Sus scrofa: one gene and its partner. The protein of the gene in region 1 interacts with the protein of each later gene in a biochemical or structural test. Links are inferred from orthologs where the notes say so. Each region holds a gene or a part of one and is shown in the gene's direction. Other genes may lie near its edges.

What was found. The genes of interacting proteins can lie anywhere in the genome.
Region 2: the proteins of SLC9A3R2 (region 1) and PTH1R interact in a test that uses a peptide from one of them, tested with the Homo sapiens proteins (2 studies listed by BioGRID and IntAct, with this or other methods). The link is inferred for Sus scrofa from reciprocal best matches to the Homo sapiens genes NHERF2 and PTH1R.

The regions. Positions count from the first base shown.
Region 1 is NC_010445.4:39,940,475-39,950,680, reverse strand, and holds the end of SLC9A3R2 (Na(+)/H(+) exchange regulatory cofactor NHE-RF2), read left to right. Parts: intron 1-471; coding exon 472-672; intron 673-2,596; exon of another isoform or gene 2,597-2,973; coding exon of another isoform or gene 2,974-3,459; intron 3,460-5,810; coding exon 5,811-5,990; intron 5,991-6,309; coding exon 6,310-6,463; intron 6,464-6,537; coding exon 6,538-6,581; intron 6,582-6,919; coding exon 6,920-6,982; intron 6,983-7,216; coding exon 7,217-7,375; 3' UTR 7,376-8,310; downstream 8,311-10,206. Other genes in the region: NTHL1 (endonuclease III-like protein 1), read right to left, coding at 9,068-9,191, 9,266-9,371.
Region 2 is NC_010455.5:29,745,655-29,756,296, forward strand, and holds the start of PTH1R (parathyroid hormone/parathyroid hormone-related peptide receptor precursor), read left to right. Parts: upstream 1-4,285; 5' UTR 4,286-4,374; intron 4,375-8,932; 5' UTR 8,933-8,980; coding exon 8,981-9,055; intron 9,056-10,642.

The DNA.
Region 1 (10,206 bases):
CCCTCTGCAGGTCCAGCAGGAAGAGGCCCATGATCACGGTCTGAAAGAGAATGGAAGGCTTAGACGCAGGTTCTTCCACCGGGGGAGGCAGCCAGGCACAGACACACCGAGCCTGGGACCCAGGGAGACCCTTCCCCCCGCCCCCCCCCCGCAAACCCAGACGTGCAGACGGGGAAGCCGAGGCTTAGCCGAGCCCCGCGATTGTCCCTTCCCGGCCCCTCCCCAGAGAAGAGCCTGCGCCCAGGCGAGGCCCCCGCAGCCCCTGCAGCCCTTGGAGCCCGGCCCGCTTCGGCAGCCCCGGGAGAGGAGGGCGGGAGCCGCCGGAGCTGGGGGTGGGGGGAGGAGCTGCGGGCCTTGCGGTCCAGCCGCCCACCTGGCCCGGGAGGCTCAAGGCCTGCCCCCGGGGTGCTGCTATCCATGTGCTGCCTGGGGTGCTGGCCGTGACCGGCTCCCGCCTCCTGCCCGTCGCAGGTGGTGCAGCGGATCAAGGCTGTGGAGGGCCAGACGCGGCTGCTCGTTGTGGACAAGGAGACGGACGAGGAGCTCCGCAGGCGCCAGCTGACTTGCACCGAGGAGATGGCCCAGCGAGGGCTGCCGCCTGCCCTTGACCCCTGGGAGCCGAAGGCGGACTGGGCGCCCGCAGGCAGCCTCAGCGGTGAGGCCGGCCAGAAGGTACGGCGCCTCTGCCCACAGGGATCACCTGGCCTCTCCCAGGACCGCCTTCTCGGCGCCTCTGGTCGTCTCCACCAGTGTGCGTCTCTGGACCCCTCCTGGACCCCTGGTGGCCACTCTCTCGGCCACTTGGAGCCACTCTTTCTGTCCTCGGCCTGTGTTCTAAACCGCATGGGCTCTGGGCAGCCTGGACCTGGTCCCTGGCCCCCAGGAGGCTCGTCATCGGAGCCCCTTGTCCTTGGAAGGGTCCCTTTGACCAGCCGCCCCCTCCCCGGCCTTGGGGCTGAGGAACCTGGGGAGGGGCTGCTGGCGTGTGCTCAGCTCTGTGCCTGTGGTGGGTGTCTGTCTGTCCAAGGAGCCTGCTTGTGCCATAAAGACTGGAGTGGGGGCGCTGGCCCTCCTCTGTGGGGGCAGCTGAGGAGACCCTCTGGGCTAGGTCCGCAGCCGGGGGCTCTACAGGCATTGGGGCGCTTCCCCTTCTCCCTATGTCCCCTCCAGACAGGAAGCCTTGCTGGGAAAGCACTGGGGTGGGGTCCAGGGGGCCTGTTCTGTCTCTTTCTCAGTAGCTGGGCCCGGGGGTGGCCCGACCCCTACCGGGACAGCATCTGGAGGTCAGGGGAAAGAGCTGCCTGCCCTGCCCCCACGACTTTTATTTTCTTAAAGAAGAAAATCCCTTAAAAGGGGACTCAAATCCAGGGGTTACCCAGATCCCCCTTGGAGAACCCCGGCCTAGGGCTCCTGGAGGTATGAATTCTGAACTTTCTGGGTGTGCGGGGGACCTGGACATCTGTCTTGTCCCTTTCCCCCATGCCTCCCGTGAACTGGGTCTTGTGGGGCCTCAGGCTTTTCCTGGGGGATGGGATTCGCAGCAGAAAGGCAGCCTGGGCATAGGCCTGGGCACAACCCCTGTGACCCCTGTTGTTTTCTGTGGCTGGAGGGCAGGCTCCTGGTAGTAGTCAAGGCCACGGGGCCAGGTCCTGGAGTCTGGACTTGGCCCTGGGGCCCCTGAAGGCCAGAGGAGGGCTGTCAGGGTCAGATCTGTGATTTCAGGGGGGCCCTGGGCCGGTGCACTGGCTGAGCCCACCTCGCAAGCTGGGGCTGGAGCGGCCCTCCTTCCCCGGGCACCTCAGCCCGGGAGGAAGCCCCCCACCCCCACCCCGGCGCTTGTCCATTGATTTAGACACAAAGCTGAGTTCACCTTCCTGTGGAAAAATCTGCCCGCGGGGCCTTATCTGGAGGGTGGGGGCACCTTGTCCTTGGGTGGGACCTTCCCCTCCACTATTTCAGGCTCTGGGGGCTGCAGGAAGCTGGGGGAGGGGTCTTCCTCTGGGCATATTTTTAGAGTAACAAAGTGGGACCCGCCTGGCAGGTCTCCTGGGGGTTGGGGCTTGCCCGGGCACAGGGACCCCAGAAGGTCAGGGGAGTCCCTGGGCACGGGGCTTCTCTTCTCCCTCCCAGACAGAAACCTGGACATTCATTGGCTGAGCTCAGAGCTTTAGCAGCAGGAGCTGGGCCTGCGCTGAGCTCCACAAACCAGGCTTAGCCCCCACCCCCCAACCCCTCTATCCCCCACCAGGCTTAGCCCCCAATCCACTGCCATCCCCACCCCTCCATCCCCCCTGCACAAACCAGGCTTAGCCCCCCACCCCTCCATCCCCCATCCCCCCTGCACAAACCAGGCTTAGCCCCCCACCCCCCACCCCTCCATCCCCCATCCCCCCTGCACAAACCAGGGTTAGCCCCCCACCCCCCACCCCTCCATCTCCCATCCTTCCTCCACAAACCAGGCTTGGCTGCCCCCCCACCACTGTGGGCTGTCAGGGATTCTGGGAGGATGGGGCTTCCTTGTAGAGCTGTGCCCCGAAGGGTGACAGCCCTGGGACAGGAGAGCTGGGGGGGTTGCTTTAGTGCAGGGTGAAGGGCCACCCTCTGTGCCCTGGAGGGATGGGCTGAGGTGGGTGCCAGGGCCCTGTGGGTCCCTCTGGCCCTCTCAGCCTCAGTCTCCTCCTGTCCTGGGCAGGGGGAGGTGGGGCAGGCAGGGGACATGGATGTGGCTGGCCCCTCCCTTTGGGGCCTGTCAGGGACTCATCAGTGGTGACTCAGCCTGGGGTTCACACTGGGCTGGGGTGGCTGCAGCTGCAATGCAGCTGATCCTGACAGTGACAACTGCGACCCGCCCCCAAACACAGCCGGGGCTGCGGGGGTGTGAGGGACCCAGGCCCTCCAGTGCTGCGGCTCCGGGGCTGAGAGTGGTTGAGGTGACAGCGTCCTGCGGACAGTGACTGCCTGGTATAGGACCTGATGCCTACGAGAGGGCTTTCTGGGCTCCCCGGTTTCTGTGCCCCGTCTCCCCATGAGCTGCAGCGGGGCTGTCTTATGTTTGGGGGCCAGGGTCTCCTATCTGCCGCCTTGTCCCCCCAGCCCTGGGTCCTGGGAGCAGGGCAGGGCCTCCTAGCAGTTTCCTTCCTTCCTTTCTTGGGACGGAAACCAGGCCAGTGCAGGGCGCCGGGCTGGAGCTTGAGCAGGGGAGGGGGCCTCAGCCACCACCCTGTTCTCCAAGGTGACTCAGCCTTAGGTCCCCACCCGTCCCTGGGGAGCCTGGGCCACGGTGGGAGGTGGATAAATGGGGTGGCCGCCTGGGCTGGCCAGAGAGCTCAGGCCACTGCAGCTGGACGCAGGTCGCCTGCCACTTCTGTCCCGCCTCCCATGGCCCGCTCTGGGACTGCCACGCCGCCCGCCCCAGCCCCGGGAGCCCCTCCACAGGGCCCAGCTCAGGGGCTTGTGCAGGTCAGGTGGGGTGGGGGCCGGGTGGGCAGTGAGGACACCAGCAGCCAGCCTGTGTCCCTCAGGCTTGGGAGAGGGGACTCTGGGGACACTGGTGGACCTCGGGCCCAGTTGCAGGCTGGACCCGGAGCAACAATGGGAGCCTTTCTCTGCTCGGGCTGGTGAGTCACCATGTGTGTGTGTGGGGGCACAGCCTGTCTCCGGGGGTACCCCCACCATCTGGGGGTGCCAGCCTCTTTGTCTGGTCCCAGGCATGGCTGGGAGACCAGGGTTTGTCCAGCTCTGGGCCTGCGTGGCTGGGAACGGGGTCTGGGAGCCCAAGGGCCTTGCTGGGAGGTGGTAGGAAGTGCTCTGAGCCAGGGCGGGAGCCAGGAATGTGAGCAATGCTGGGCCAGGCTGGCCCCCTCCAGGCCCAAGGCTCTGGCCTCCTCGCTGGGCCTCCCTGCCAGGGTCGGCCCCCACCCCGACGGCATTGCAGCCCCTCAGCCTGAGGGTCTAGTCCGAGCACTCCTTGGACCCTGACCCTAATGAGAGAGGTCTGGGCCGATGTTGGAAGAACCCCCCACCGGGCTGTGTGGGGAGAGGCGGAATGCCGGGTTGAGGCAGGGAGACGGTTTCAAACTGGATGTGACTTCATGTGGCCTGGCCTCGTGGCCCCGGATGCCCCCCCATCCTGCTTCCCGTTTGGGGGCCTTGAGAGGCCACGCCCTGGAACCACTGTGGAGGGCGTGGGAAGAGGCCACAGGGCTGGTGCTGAGGGCTGGCCTTTCACACGGCTGGTCACTGCGGGTCTGTGTGCAGCCTGTTTGTGAGCGTGTGTTTGCAGAATGGTCCCTGGGACCCTGCGATGTGCCTTGGCCCCCAGGCCCTTGTCCACACGCCAGGCGTGGCGTTGCCACACATCCACCGTCTCTCACGGCCTGGCTCTGCTCCGTCAGACCAGCAGCCCTGGGACCTGTGCTCTGACAGCCCGGACCCAAGAGGGGCCGCAGAGCCGCACCCCTGTGCTTCCAGGCGTGTCTGGGCATGAGTGGGTCGCTGAGGTGCCAGAGAAGCCAGGCTCTCACAGTTCAGCCCATGTCCCCTGGCTGAAGCCTTGGGGGACCGAGGCACCATGCCTGGTTCCTGGAGTTGCTGGGGTTGAAGGGCACATGGTGGCCCGCAGTGGGGTTTCTGAGGGGACAGGCTTTGGGGTCAGGGAAGGGGTCCCGGAGGAGGGTCACAGGCTGGACTGGCAGAGGGTGTCCCCCACAGGTGGGAAGGCCCGGGGACCAGGGCGAGGCAGTCCCTTGTGAGAAAGATGCTGTCAGATGGGGGCTTTGGGCTCCGAGGCCTGGAGGGGGTCCTCCCTCAGCGCCACCGCCAGCCGGCCCAGGGTCCCCCCACACAGGGAGGCGTGGGGAAAGGGCCCTGGTGAGCACCCCCAGCCCACCCCACTCCGCCCGGTGCTGTTCACCTGCCGGCTCCCTGCTCGGAAACCTGAGCTCCCGGCCGCCCGGCCGCCGCCATATTGGGCTGACACCTGCTCCGTGCAGGGGTCGCTGCCTTGGGCCGTGGCCGGGTGGGCCTCCTGGGCCTGGGCCCCTGCCTGCGCGCCCCCACCCCGCACCCCCGGCCCGGAACCCTCCTGCACGATGCCAGAGGTAAAGCGAGGCAGGGCCCTGGGGGGTCGAGGGCCTTCCCAGGGGAGCAGGAAGGTGGGAGGCAGGCCCCGCCCTCGCTCCCCTCTCATCCCCGGTGCCTGTGCCTGTCTGTCGTCGAGGCTAGGCGGGGGTGGCTCCTGCTGGCGCTGGAATGTGAAAGCAAACACAGCCCGCCTGCTACCAGCCCTGTGGAGACCTTTGGGAGAGTAAACAAAACTGCCTGCCTGCTGGAGCCAGCCCCACACTTCCGGATGGGGTTGCGGCGGGAGGGGGGGGGGGAGTGTGACAGCAGGCAGGGCCCATGGGGACAGCCCTCCCGGAACACTGATGAGCGGTGGCTCGTCTCACCTGGTCTCTCCGAGGACCCGGGTCTGTCCTCAGCCCTGTCCTTGAGCCAGCCGATTCTCCCAACACCCCTGGAAGGTCCCTGACCCCCTTGTGGGTCCTTTGGGGTTTGGAAGCTAAGGCTTCGTCCAGGACCCCGAAGCTGCATCGTCACAGGCAGCCTAAGAGGTCCCCCTGCCGCCCCAGGCATGGGTGTGGTGCTGTAGGCCCCTGAGACCAGGGCTGCCAGTCAGGTAGGGGCACGATGCTGAATGTGGGGTGGCTTCTCTCCAGCCGCCTCCACTGCTGCGTTCACAATTGGTGTCAGCTCCTCCAGGGGTGGGAGGTAAGGCCTGGAGCCTCATCCCACATCCCCTGTGCCTGCAGGATGTCAACGGGCCCCTGAGGGAGCTGCGCCCAAGGCTCTGCCACCTGCGAAAAGGCCCCCAGGGTTACGGGTTTAACCTGCACAGCGACAAGTCCCGGCCTGGACAGTACATCCGCTCCGTGGACCCAGGCTCACCTGCTGCCCACTCCGGCCTCCGAGCCCAGGACCGACTCATAGAGGTACCGCCATGGAGGCTTCGGGGTGCTGGCTGCCCTGTGTGCGCCTCTGTGCCTGGCCCCTTCTGTTTGTGTCTGGGCCCACGGCCCCCCCATGTGTGTCCCCGCCGGGTCCTTCCCTGTCTGCGCAAACGTGTTCCGAGCCCCAGGTCCTCCCGGGAGGAGGGGAGATGCTGGGAACCTGAGCTGCTGCTTCTCTGGCTACCCTGGCTGGTGACAGCGTTGATGAATATTTGATGCCACACCTGGCCAGGTAGCCCGGGGGGCTGGTGGGGCCCTGCCCTGCCCTCAGGCAGCACTGACACCGTGCTGGCGGTGGCAGGTGAACGGGCAGAATGTGGAGGGGCTGCGGCACGCGGAGGTGGTTGCCTGCATCAAGGCGCGGGAGGACGAGGCCCGGCTGCTGGTGGTGGACCCCGAGACGGATGCGTACTTCAAGCGGCTGCGGGTCACACCCACCCAGGAGCACATGGAAGGTGGGTGGCCGCCCTGGGGGCCAGGGCTGGGGAGAAGCCTCGGGGGCAGAGCCATTGACACACTGTCCCCACAGGTCCACTGCCATCACCTGTCACCAATGGGACCAGCTCAGCCCAGGTGAGAGGGTGGGAGGGGACAGGGCTGGCCCAGGAGACCATACGGGGCACCTCTGGGAGTCCCCAGGCTTGACAGAGCCCCTCCCGGATCTGTCCTTGTGTAGGCGCGGTTGGGAGACCCTGTCCGGCCCAGTCACTCCAGCTCTAATACTCCTATGGGTCCCTTCCAGCTCAGCCACACCCTCGCCCAGGGTGGGGGTGGGGACAGGGGGCACCTACTGTGCCGAGTAGATGCTCCGTGGCCGCTGCCAAGTGGAGGAATAAATGCAGCTCTGCTGCTGTGTGTGGGGGCCCTCCCGGCCCCGGGCCCTAAAGCCACACCTTACCTTGGTTTCCCAGCTCAATGGTGGCTCCGTGTGCTCGTCCCGAAGTGACCTGCCCGGCTTAGACAAGGACACTGAGGTAGCTGGTGCCCCTCCACCTCCACTGCTGTGGTCCCTCCCTGGGGGGCCTGGAGCCTTGGGGGCGGGTGTCCCCGGAGCTGTCCGCCTGGGCGGTGAGGCCACCACCGCTGGGAAGCCCTCCTGAGCCTGCTGCCCGGTGGCCTCTGGTGTGCGTTCAGTGGGAAGGGTCACCCGGCTGGGGGCTTGGGTCCAGGGCTCACTCTGGCCACCTGGCCACCGTGTCCACCCCTAGGACAGCAGCACCTGGAAGCGTGACCCTTTCCAGGAGAGTGGCCTCCACCTGAGCCCCACGGCGGCTGAGGCCAAGGAGAAGGCGAGGGCCACCAGGGTCAACAAGCGGGCGCCACAGATGGACTGGAACCGGAAGCGTGAGATCTTCAGCAACTTCTGAGACCCCCCACCCTCCGCCGCAGCCGCCGCCTGGTCCCCAGCCGGGCCTCCTCTGGGCATGGACCTTGGGCCTTGCCCAGAGCGCCCCGAGCCTCAGTGGACTGCAGCGGGGGCACCTTCGCTCGCTAAGCCGTGGTGGTCCCACCACCCCCCATGAACCAGCCCGTGCCCCAGTGAGCCCCCGTCCTGCCCCCTTCCCACGGGGTGCTGGGGAGCGGGCAGAGGAAGCCCCTGAGACGGGAGGGACAGAGACACCCAGAGAGGTGGGCTGGGGAGGGGAGGCTGGGGTGACCCGCCAGGCCGGGCCCTTGCTGCTCTGCCTGGGCCTGCTGACTTAAAGGAATTTGTGTTTTGGCTTTTTTTCCAACACGAGCTCTGGCTCCACACATGTTTCCACTTAATACCAGAGCCCCCACCCCCATCCCCTCAGGACGTGCTCTCTAAATAATTGCAATAAAACAAACCTTTCTCTGCAAACCATTTCCTCCCACCTCCCTCAGCAGCAGCCTTCCCCGAGGGAGTCCCAGGGCCTTCCAGGGGCAGAGTTCTGGGGCCCCCAGGCCGTGTTCACGCAGGCTTCGGGGAGGCTAGGAGCCCCACGTGGCTATAAGAGCTAAGAGCTGCCTCGCTGCTCAGGCCCTGCCCTCCCTGGCGTGGGGGTTGGGTCGGGGGCAGGGCCTGGGTTCTTGGTGGGGCCCGAGATGGAGAACTTCGGCCCTGCCCGAGGAGGGCAGCCTGTAGACAGGCCCCTTGTCCCTGCACGGCAGCCCCCAGGAAGGTCCCCAAGCTCTTGGCTCGCCTGCCCTGAGCCGCCCCTGAAGATGCCCCACCGACTCCGCCTTCCTTCCTGCCCAGAACCAGACCGACCCGGCATCGCTGTCTGCCCTAAAAGCCATAGCGCATGCGCGCCCTCAGAATAAATAGGCCTTCCTTGTATCCTGGCTCTCTGTTCACCCTGAACTTTCATTGCAGGGGTTGGGGGTCATTTTCCTGGCAGGGAGGCAGCAGCCCGGCAGCTCCCCAAATCTCAGCTGGTGCACACGGAGACCGGGTCCTGAGCGGCCCCTCCCCCATTCCCTGTGCGGGGGAGGGGGGGGCAGCCCCACCCCTCAGCTCCTGCGCCCTCCTCAGCTCATGGGGACCCCGGTGCCTCAGGGCCTACCCCCTTTCACCAGCACCTCCTGGTGAAGGCTTCTGGGCCCCTGGCACCCCCAGCAGGTTCACACAGGTCCAGCCCCCTGCCCATGCTGCCCTGCTTGGGCCTGCTGGTGTCCCTTGGAGGCCAGGTGGCTCTGTAAACACCGGGGGTGGGGCCTCTTGGCACAGGCTGGGTTCTCCGGGTGCCCAAGTTCAGGCGGGTGTGTGTGTTCCCAGCGTCCCAGCGGTCTTCCCCACAGCTGGCTGCAGCTGGATCCCATGATTCCCCCCTCCCCCACCCCCACCCGCACTCAGCCCAGATTGTCACGTCCCCATCCCGGCCTCCCAGGCAGCCCGGTCCCAGACACACGTGAGCACCGGCGCACACACAGCTCACGCGTGTGCTTTCCAGCCAGCCCCCAGCCCCTAGGGGTAGAAATCAGCCAGACCCTGACTGCAAACACCCCCAAGCTTTATTACAAACAGGCTGCGAATCCCTAGCAGAGGCACATAACAGACGGTGGCCAGAGTGGCCCAGGGCAGAGGTTGCAAGCCTTCAGAGTCCCTGTGCAGCCGGGCACAGGGCCCGGTTGAGGCAGGCCTGGCAGCGGGGGCGGACGGGCAGGCAGGTCTGCTGGCCGAAGCCCACTAGCAGTCCATTGATCTCACTCCATAGCTCCCTGTGGGGGTGGGATCCATCAGTGTGGGGGTGAGGCTGAGGGAGGTGGGCCGCCCCGCCCCTACCCTGTGACACCTGGGCAGCCACTCCTCCAAGGCAGTGCGGGTCTTCTCAGGGGACTTGGTTGCCTTCTTGGTCCACTTGAGTCGGCCGGCGATTCTGTGTACGTGTGTGTCCACTGCTGCTCGGGGACCAGGCAAGCTGAACACGGGGCAGGCTCCCCCGCGCAGACTGCCCCCTCCCTGCCCGCAGCTCCGGGCCAGGAGTCTCCCTGGCCCTCCTCCCTCCCCCGCTTCTGAGGAGGAGCCAGGATGGGTGCATGGGCCACCCCTGCTGCTGGGCAGGGGCTGAAGCCAGACCCAGAGGACTAGGACTTCTCCTTGGGGTACAGGCAGCGGTGCCTTCTGGCCCAGGTGCTGGCTGTGGGTGCCAGGCTGGATGGCACTAGCTGGGCCCAGTGGGCTGGCAGGAAGTCACTGCCACAGAGCCAGCACCTGTCCTTGCACAGTCAGGGACAGAGCGGGGACGAGGCCAGGCCAGCTGCAGGCACCGTCCACCTGGGCTGCACCCCCTGCGCACCCAGGCCCCCCTCCCAAACAGATGCAGTCCCTGCCTCCCCTCCTAAGTGTTGGCCAGCTTGGGCCGCACATCCCTGCACCAGCTCACCACCCCAGCTGCTCGCTGCCTTGAGAGAGAGACTCCCCACACGGCATGGGGAGCGCGTGCAGACTGAGAAGTCACACCTTTGGTCACCCAGCCTGCTTCTTTCTCTGAAACCCGGGGTGGGGAGGGGTGACCAAGCCCCTTAAGTTACCCAGAAGCCCAGCTTAGAGCCACAGCCAGGTGCGTGAGCTCCCGTGGCTGGTCTGGGGGCTCTGGGGCCCAGCTCCGAGAGGGCAAGTGCCCTGCCTGGGGTCCCCTCGCTGGGATGGCAGAGCTGGGATGGCTGCCGCATCCCACAGTTCTGGCTTTCTAACTGAGGGGGCTTCTTGGGAAAACTCCTGGGGAGGGGGCCC
Region 2 (10,642 bases), on another chromosome or scaffold:
GTGGTTATGCTTAAATTGGAAGATGTATGTGGAGCACTGAGTGGGAGGGCAGGGGTGGCCACCCTTCCATCTGGGACCCAGCTCTGCTCCCTGGGCCAGAAATGGTTTCCGGAGCCGGCTGTGGGACAGAGGGCGTTGCAGGGGTGCAGGATACGCTGCGTGGCCCAGAGCACTCATGTTCCCTGCCTCTGCACCCCCACACCAGATCAGGAAGGCAGGGAAGGAAGGGGGTGCAGCAGAAGTGGGGGAGGCTAAACCGCCAGCCTCCCTGTAGAGGGCATGAGTCCACAGTTGTCAGGGCCCTTGCTTGCAACGGGGCTGGAGCTTTTCCTTCACTCCTGAGGAGGCAGAGGGGCTCCAGAAATGGAGCAGTGGCCCAGGACAAGTAGGAGCTGTGAGTGTGATTTTGGCTGCATCCTGCCCTCCCCAGGGCCAGGTGGTGACCAGTGTCTCCTCTAGCTCCAGGGAGGTCTCTGAGCTATGCAGAGCCATTCTTCTGTTACTCCTGGAACCTCCTCCAAGGTTGGGACCCACCTGTCCCAAGTTGAAGCCTTTCGGCTTCTTGCACGGCCTCAGAAGACTCTGGATGTTGGGAAGGACTAAGGATCTAGTCTGGATGAGCTGAGCGACTTCTGGCATGCCATTGACCCTCTCTGAATGTTGCTCTCCCAAAGGCAGTTTTATAAACTTCCCCAAAGTACTTCTCCTTCTGGCCAGTTCAGCCAATGTCCACCAGGCCTCTGGAACAGGCTCTGTGCCGGGTGCTGGATAGCCAAGCAGACATAGCCCTGGTCCCAGCCAGAGACGTTCCCAGTATCACTGCCAGATCACTGCTTCACCCAGCTAACGTGCCCTGAGGCATGCAGGATGAGAGGAAACTGAGGCCCAGAGAGGTGGCCAGCAGTCCTCAAATGGCCCAGCCTGAACAAGGACCACCCACATAGAGGGTCTCTCTAGGCTGAGCAAGACCCAGTGTCAAGAACTAGGGGTCCCCCACCCAAGTCTCCCCACCACCACCCCAGGCAGGATCCAGTGTCTGAACTAACCCCTTTCCCACTCCTTCCTCTTTCCCGGCCCCCTCGTCCCTTCAAACCACAGGGCCCAGCCAGCCTCTGGAACGCGTGCCCAGGACCTCGGTGATATTTTGAGTTTAAGAAAACTTTGCAGTCGGCAGGAGCTCTTAAAGGTTATAAATAGCAGCAGCAGGAGCCCACGCCGGGAGAGGCGGAAACACGTGTCAAACACGCCTGGGAGGGGGGTATTCCGAGGCACACACGACCCCCCACTAGGGACCCACCAGGCTTCAGGGGATTTTACAACCACTGGAGCGGGAAGTCACACCCCACCCGGAAGGTGTCTGGGAAAGGAGACTCCGCTCTTGCCCCCAACCAGGGTCCCTGAGCAGTTTTCCAGATGGTCTGGGGCACGCAGGGGCGCTGCTGAAAGGGGTCTTGGGTGGGAGGTCTTGCTTCTATCCTCTCACTCCCTGCCCTGCATGAGAACCCCAGGGGTGAGAGGAGTTTTGGATGGAGTCCCCTCTAACCCCTGTCAGCAGTCGGGGCACAAGACCAGGGGGAAGAAGGGATTATTCCAAGGCACACAGGAGCTATGTAGCATTCAGACCCCTGGCCCACAGTTCTTTTCACCAAATGTTGCTGCTGCATCCCCTTCATTTTGAGGGACCACAGGATGATAGCTTACGCCACCCAATTAAGCCGAGTCAGGGGACTGCAGACAGCGTAGAGGGTACCCTGATATAAGTCAGCCCTCCTCAGTTGACGGTGAGCAGACACTAGGCCCTCATCTCTCAACAACCCATCCAGTCCCCAAGTTTCTACTTCTGATGAAGATGTGCCTTTGAAGAGATGAGAAGAGAGCACTAGAGAGGACAAGGGACTCCCTCCACTCTAAAGGGCTGCACACTCATGCACATCTTGCCAAGGTGTGGCTTGTGGACAACCCAAGGCCAGGTGTGGGGTCTTCACAAGGAGGTCAGCTCTGATTCCAGGGTTGCCTTGAAGGCCATTATGCTTTGAGGATATGCTCTCAGGAGCCTTCTCTGAGGGAACACAGCCAGGAAGACCCCTTTGATTTTCCCAACTGCACGTGCAGGAATTGTTGTTCCAATGCAAAGATCGGGAAGCTGAGGCATGTCTGAGGCTCCCACAGCCATCCCTAGTTCTGCCTCACTCATGCCCTACCTGCTGCCCATGGCCCCCAGAAGGTCTGGGGGTGGCAGCCAGGCCTGGCGTCCAGGCACTCTGAACCTCAGGGAGCCCCAAAGGGTTTATGGGGCTCCCAATGAATGGGTCTGTTGAGCTCAGAGGGGGCTGGGCCCAGGTAAACATGACTGGGTCTGAGCTGCCATTCTCCCCCTGCCTCCTTCCTCAGGACCCAGGACCAAAATACGACTTCCTGTCCCCGGAGCTGAGGGCAAGACTCACCCCTCAGAGCCCTAAGCTGGGGCCCACTGGAGGAACACAGCCTGGCCGGCACAGGCAGCCCCCAAGGCTCTAGGGGAGAGAGGACCTCAGGTTTTCAGATTCACAGGTATGCCCAGGACCCAAGCACTCGGTCATTTTATGGAGCCCCTTCAAGTCTTGAATTGCCCGTGTTAATAACATATCAGGAAACCGAGGCCACAAACAGGAAAGAGATGCACAGGGCAGGGCAGAACAGGCACTAAGCCCCAGCCTTTGACTTCCGTGGCAGTGAGGATGGGAGTCAGGGGTGTAAGTGGGCTCAGAGGAGGGAGAGGCTCCATGGGTGGAGGCTCAGGGCAGTGGGAAGCTTGACAGAGGGCAAAGGAGGTCTACCCTCTTGGACACAGCTGCCCAGTGACCTGTAAAGCTGAAATCTGCCCCGACCCCCTCCACACACACTGGCCCTGGTCACAGAACGGCCTACGTGCCCTGAGATACCCCACTGGAGCCAGACACTTGGAAACAGCTCAGGCCAGGGGCAGGAGCCCTGCAAGTACTGTTTGTCATAATCTCATTATGAGCCCCTGGGCAGCCCAGTCTACCCTCTAAGCCTCATTTTCCCTACCTGGAGGCCAGGTATTGACAAGTTCCCTGCCTCTCTTTCCAGCTTCTGAACTAGAAAGTACTTTGGAAACTATAAAGTGTTCTCCCCAGGATCCTGGAAGACCTGAGGAGAGGTCGCCCCTAGGGATGGGGGCCCTAAGAACGTGACCCAGTGGCTGGGGGTGGTTCCGGGCCAGCCGCCTCACATGCCAAGCACTGGGGGCTGTGGCTGGAATGCGTGGAGCAGCAGCTGCCACGTGAATCATTACACCTCGTCAGGCTGAGCCTGGGACTTCCAGACTCAAACCAGCTCAGACTGGGCTCAGGCAGAAGGGCAGTCTTCAATCAGGCTCTCTGGGCCCTGAGGTGAGGGTCCAGAATCTTGCATAGTCTCTTCCATCCTGTCTGCGCATGTCCTCACCCTCAGTGTCCAAGTCCAGCACTGATTCTGCTATAGCTCATTCCACAGAGCCACAGAGGGAGGTCATCCTGTCCACAACCCCCTGCCTCTGTGACCTATAACTACCTAAGCAGGCCCTGAGCCTACCTAGTACTTGGTGGGGTATATGTGGTAGGGGGGCAGCCCATGAAGCTTGCTGGCTGGTTTCAGACCTGAAGTCCATTTTCAGTGGGGAAGGAGTCAGATATAGGGTGGGCTGTGGGTCTGCAGGGATCAGGACAAGGGCTGGGTAGAGCAAGGGTCCCCACGTCTCTCTTAGCTGGGGGACACTGGGTAGCCAGTGCTTAGAGGGCAGACCTTCTCAGCCTCAGTCCTCTGCTTGTGACCTGGGTATGAACTACCCTCAGCCTCCACCCGATTTTTACAAAGGCCCAAAATCTGAATGAAGTCACTCATAGGGGCTGTGCTTATAACTCATGGTGGCCTGAAATTTCTGGGCTATGGAAAAGGCTAGAAGGGGCAGGCAGAGACACAGAAACAGACAGTAAGCTAGTTGGAGAAAGGGTTGGCAGAGCAGGGAGAGGACTACTGAGGCACACAAACACCTGAGGGGCTGAGCTGGCCTGGATGCCTGGCAGGCAAACCCATGGACAGTGGCAGGGAGGGCCTAACCCAGAGCACCTGAACACTGGTATGTTTGGACCTGCCTCTGCTCCCTGACCAGGGGTCTAGGACAAAGTCCTGGGCTGGTACATGGCTTGGTAAAAAATAATTAATTTTTCTTTTCAAGTGAAACTTTGACTCAGGCCTTTTCCTGTCCCAAACAGCAATATCCTGGCTTAGGCCTGAACCACAGAAGCCTCTCAGGGCTATCCATGGCCTCCCCATGGCCAATTTGAGTCTCCTCTGTGACTCCAAACCCTACTTGGAAGGTCTTGTGGGCTCCAGGTGAGTGGGTCTAGCCCTGGGAACCGGATGCAGTGAGGGACAAGGTTGGGGCACCATGCTGGGTTAGTGTGTGTATCTGTGCCTGTGGGGCAACCAAAGTATGCCTGCCAGGAGATAACTATGGAGCTGGTGTTACCGCAGCAGGGAGGCTGTGACTATGTGATGAGAAGGGATAGGGATCCTGTACCCCCAGTCACCTGCCCCACGAGTGCTTCCTGCTTGGGACAGGGCAACCCAGCCCCTTCCTGAGAAGTGAGAAAGCCAGGCTTCCTGCTGTAAGGGGAGGGGGCTGCTTGACAGGCTGCCTGGGAGCCTCCAATGACTCATCCGGGTGGGGGGTGTTTATGAGCAGCCGAAATGGCTGTAAAAGTGGCACCTCGGTTCACTTATGGCCTGGCCATCCCCTCCCCACCAGCCCCTTGCCTTGAAAAGCTTCCAGAAGGGCCTACAAACCTGGAAAGAGGTCTGGGGCTGAGGCTTGGTGGAGGCTCAGCCTGGGGTCAGGGTTCAGCCAGAGGTTAGAGGTCAGACCGGGATAAGGACTCAGCCTGGGGGTAAAGCTCAGTCTGGGATCAGGGCTGAGATTAGGATTCAAGCTGACTTCGGGGTTATGGGTGAGGGGATGAAGTGTGGGAGTAATCAGGCCAGTATTCCCAGAGAGCCTCCAGGTTAGGGAAAGGGGTTTTCTGAGGGAGTGGGGCCACGCTGCTGGGCTCAGAAAGCCTGTCTTTCCTGTTAGAATCTGGTCCCCACCCAGGCATCAGGGTCTGTGTACCTTGGCCAGAGCTCTACCGGTGATGGCAGTGCCAGCAGCAGAGGTCTGTCAGCTTAGGACTGCTGCAACAGAGTTAAGTCCCCCACCCTACCCCACCCCCACCCTGCTCTGGTTCTGAGCTCCAATGACAGCCTTGGTTCCTCCCTCTAGGCCCCAGCTTGGGGATCAAAGAGGGGAGTCCCCACAGGGACTCCCATTCCCTACCCCCAACCATGACTTTCCAAATGCCATTGAAACTGACCTGAAACTGACCAGAAACAGACCCTGGGGCTCTGGGGCCTGCCTGTCAAAAAGGGTGGGCTGTGCTCTGCCAGGCACTGGGGTGCTACCAGTTAATGTGTGACACACACCCCCACCACCACCATGGTAGCACTTTAACCAGAGGCCTGGGGGTGAGTTAGGGGGTCAACGGCCCCACCCACAGTGGTGGAGGAGTGAGGCATGTGAGCTATGGTTAGGGGAACAGCCCATTAGATCCCTCTCTGCAGCCCAATCTACAGCCCACCCTGATCTTCCTAAACACAAATATTGTTTGTTTCTCAATCTCAAGTTTTCTGGGTGTCAGATCTGAGAAGGACCCCCCCCATCAGCCCCTAGTTTTACCTCTCAGTTCCTCCAATCTGTCCATGAATGTTCTTTTCCTATTATCAAGGGGTGTAGGGTTGTTAGTGGTTGTCAAATTATAAAAATTAGAATCAAATTGCTTAGAGACAGATACAAAAGCTGAAGAAACACGTCTGTTCTTTACTTGCCTGTTCTGAGCACCTGAGCTCTGTCCCTGTTCCCTAAGAGCCCACACACCATGGGAAGCAGCCCCCAAACCACAGCTGCCCCCCAGTAATGGATGAAACGGAGACACAAGACGGGAGGGACATCCTCTACACCAGGCAGAGGAGTATGATCCTAGCTGAGGAAACTACAAAGGCAAAGGCAGAAAAGTGAATATGGAGAGAAGGACAGGAATCTAGTGAACGGTACTCATTGGAGAGAGTCACTTTGGGAAGAAACTTCCTCAAACAGCACAATCCTTAAATACCAGGACCATAAACTTGAAGAGAGTATGGCCATAGAAATATAGGGAGAAGACAGATGGGTACAGTCTGGGAGACAGGTAGGTTTGAGCAGAGGGAGGGAGGGTTCCCCAGAGAGCCGGATGCAGCTGGATTCCAGTGGCCTTAGGGCTTGGATTTGGGCACTCATTGACACTGAAGAGAGGGGCCATCCCAGAGATGGAGGACTGGTCTGGGGCTCTAAGGAGCTCAATTTCCACAGGCTGAGCTTGAAGGGCCCTCAGAGCACAGGGGTCTCTGGGGAACCCAGAGGGATAACCACCCTTGAAGGCACTAAAATGGTAAGGTTAAAAGTGCCCTTTGAAAGAGCTGGTCAGCTCCCCATTTTACAGATGAGGAAACTGAAGCTCAGACAGCAGGGAGTCTTGTGTCCAGGATACACAATTGGTAAGTGGATGAGCTGGGGTTGCCACTTAACCTGGATATTTCCCAGTCACATTAGCTTTCACCTGACCCTCCTTAAAGCCCTCTGCTCCGTGCACCTACAGGCCCTCTCTGCACCTCAGCTTCCGGCTTGATACTGCTTGGTGTCCGTCCAAGGCCCCCTCCTCTGAGCGTCCCCTTCCAGGCGGGAGAACATAAGCTCCACCTCCGTCTGGCCCCTGCCCCAAAGTCTCCTTTCGCCCTTCCCCCAAGTTGAGAGTCCCCAGTGGACCAGAACCAGCCAAGAGCTTTGGCGGGTGTGAAGGGGTGGGAGAGGGAGGCAGAACCCCAGGGTGGGGTCCGGGCTTAGTAAGGGGTCTTGCGGCCTCAAGCAGCCAGGGGTGGAGTCAAGAGGAGGAGCTAGAGAGGCAGGGCCCCAAGTCTGGATGGGTCCAGACTCCGAGAGACCCAGACCCAGAGACTGGGGAGGGAGGGAGCGGGGCGTGAGGCCAGAGACGCAGGCAGGGACAGGGGCGGGTCTAGGGCACTGCACACCGACCCACTCGGGAGGTTCCTGAGAGTGGGGGTCCAGGCGAAGGCGGGGCGGCCGGGAGAGCCGCGGCGGAGTCAGGCTCAGGGCCGGCGGCAGAGCAGGCTCCCCAGGGATCTTGGTCCAGGCTGAGCGGGAGTCCCACGGGCCGACGGATCCCGCGGGCGGGCGGGGTACCTCCCGTGAAGAGGGCCTGCTTTGAGGCTAAAGGCCGCTATTCACCGGCCGTGGCCGGACGATCAGAAAAAAATAACGTCTGTGCCTTCCCGGAGAGGAGAACGAAGCGGCAGCAGCGGCCCGGGCTATGTTCCCGGACCCCGATGTCAGAGCTCCCCGGCCCCGTCCCCTCCACACTCACATCCCGCCGCTGTGCAACCTCCGGCCGCGGCCTCTAGAGAAATGTCCCGGGGCAGGGGGCAGCGAGCTCCGCTCTGCGGCTCCACACACCCGTGTCGGAGGCGACCGGGTGGGGGGGCGGGGGCGGGAGAGGCCCAGGGAGGGCGCGGGGGAGGGAAGAGGCGCCCGAGCCGAGGGGGGAGGGGGAGCGGCAGACGCCGAGGCGAGGGACGCGCGCGGCGGGCGGCGGCTCTGAGAGCGGGCCGGGCGGGGGGCGCTGGAGACCAGGCCGGCCAGGGGGGATCCCGAGAGCTCCATGAAGTTCCCCTGGGGCCGCGGACGGGGCGCTGTCCTGGGGAGGCTGTCGGGGGGTCCCCGACATCCATGGCTAGGCGGGGGCCGCGGCGGCGCGCTCGGAGTAAGTCGGGGTTGGGGGCTGGCACCGAGGGGAGGGGGGCCGGAGTTGAGTAGGGTGACTCCGGGCCTGATCCGGGCGGAGGGACTGGTCTGTCTCGGTGTCACTCGGCGGCGCCTCCTCGGACCCGGTGGAGCCGCCAGCCCCGCGCCGCTCGGCTCAGTGGCTTTTTTGGAAACTTGCAAATGTTTTCGTAGAGAGAAAAGGGGGAGGGGAGGGAGGGAGCGAGGGAGTGACCGAAACGGAGCTCGGGGCTGCTGGAAGAACGGAGGCCAAGGCCGGGGGAGCCAGAGACGGACTGACAGACAGGCAGACTGACCGAGCGTCCCGGCCGCAGGCGCGCTCTAGCGGCACGGGCGCAGGCGGGGCTCCGGCGGAGGATGGGGCTGGAGTGTTGTAGGCGGCCGCGGACGGGATGGGGATCAGAGGGACCAGAGGGGCACGGAGCTGGCGGCCGGATCACCAAAGGGCTCAGTGTCGTTGCAAAGTTGGGATCGCGTACCCAAGCTGCACGCCCCAAGAGGCGCAAAACGTGCCCCCCGCCCCGCTCGGTCCCCCTACTTGTGCTAGCCGCGGAGCTAAAAATAACAGCCCCGTGAGCCCCCAGCAGACCGCGACCCCAACCCCTCCCCCGACCCCACCCCCACTGGGCGTGGGGCAAAGCCACAGCTCCTAGTTCCCCAAAAGAAAAAGAGAGAGAGAAAGAAAAGGCGGCGCGGAAGGGGGGGCGCGGGAGGGGGGGCGGGGGGCGGGCCGGGGGCGGGGGGCCCGGCCATATGGATGTGATTTCTCCGCTCCGAGGCAGACGGGCAGCTCCGCAGCTCTCGGCGCCCGCCCGCCGCCCGCCTGGCCCCGGGCTGCCTCCCTTCCTCCCTCCCTCCCTCTCCCTTGCGCTCTCTCGTTCGCTAGCCCTCGGCGCATGGGCCCCGCGCCGGGCCCCGGGGCCTCGGGCCGCCGGGCCTCCGGGGTCCCCTAGGCCCTAACGTGGGCGGGGCAGCCCTGCCTGAGGCAGCTCTGTACCCCACCACCACCACCACCACCACCACCAGGGCCGGCGGCGGCTGCAACCCCGAGGGACGGGGCCCTAGGCGGTGGCAATGGGGGCCGCCCGGATCGCGCCCGGCCTGGCGCTCCTGCTCTGCTGTCCGGTGCTCAGCTCGGCATACGCGCTGGTAAGTCCCCAGCTCGCACTCCTGAACAGGCTTCTGGCTTGCTCTGGGGTCCCGGGGGATGGGGGCCCCGGGGGAGGGGGGGTGCGGTCCCCAGGGTCAGAGGCTTGAGTTCCCCCAGTAATCTGAATTTTGGGTAGGGGTCCCCTCTGGCCCGTGATTCTCGGTGCCTGCTGTTTCTGAGGTGTCTACAGTCTGGGTTCCAGATGCCTAAGGTCTCCCTATTTCTGCAAGTTAGGTTTGGGGTCCCAGTTTTGGAAATCTGTGGTTAGGGTTCTCCTATCTTCTGCTTCTGTGAGCATCACTGCTCTGTGTCTCCCTTGAAAATGACAGTGTGATATAGCAGAACACTGGACTTTGGCTCTGATGTATGATCCCACAGACTTTGCTCTGGGGGCCTCTGTTTTCCGCAAGTTTCGACTGCAATGTGGGACACAGGGCTGTGGGTCTGAGGTCAGGGGGTAGGATTTAAGGACCCCTCCAGGTCTCACCGTCGCATGCTTGCACACATGCCCAGCTTCATCCACACTGAAAGATGTCTGCCCTGGGAGTCGGGTGTGGTGTGGCATGGAGGAGAGATGGAGGTCCCATGAAGGAGACTGACCTCATAGAACACTCCTACAGGAGAAACATGCTAGAAGGGCACTCCACTGAGTGAGGGGACCCCCATTTGTACTCTCCTGAGAGCAGAGGCTAAGAGGGAGAAGAGACAGAATGGGAGATAAGGCTAGAGAAAGAAGAGAGAGACAAAGGGGGTGGGGATGGAAGCTCCCCAGGAGTAGACAGACCAAGAACAGCAAAGAAAAATAGGGGAGACTGGCAGAGTCCAAGAGCTGGAGGCTCTAAGGGGCCGCACCCTCCTCATCCTGGGCCAGGGTCTGGAGGCCATCTCCTGAAGAGTCAGTCAGAACCCACAGCATGCCTGTCCCAGGGGACAAGCCATTGCTGAGGAGGCTGTCTGCCTGTGTGTCTGACTTCAAGGCCCCTGCTGCCTCCCCCTCATCTCCCAGGTGGGGGTTATTTGCCTTCTAGAAAGACAGGCAGGCAGCCTTCTCCTGACCAGCACCCTATCCAGGCAGAGCCCCGGGCTGGCAGGCAGGGAACTCTTAGATTCCTCCAGCTCTGCCTAATGCCTGTGTAACCTTGGGCTATGCTTCTCTACTCCTCAGTTTCCCTATCTGTAAAAAGACACCAAGAAAGAAACATTTGCCTAAGAATCTCCTGGTCCAAGATTCTCTCCTCTGTTGGCCTCAGCACATCCCATTCCCTGGTGTCCGTGCCCACACGGCATGGCTTTCTAAAGCCAAAGACATCGCCCCACACATAGATTCGTTGATGGGGAAACCAGGGTTCAGAGGATCACCACCCTGTGCAGGGGTACTCCAAACATGGGTGAAGATCAAGGCCCAGAGCCACTTCCCCAGCTTCCCCTCAACTTTCCCAGGGCTCCCCCCAGTTCGTGTGAGCGGAGTCACTGTGCAGAGCCAGCCACTGTGATCTGTGTATCCACACATGTGCAGGTCAAGGAATAGACAGGATGATGAGCATGAGTGACCTATGAGTCTATCTGTGTGTCGGAGCAGGGCTCTT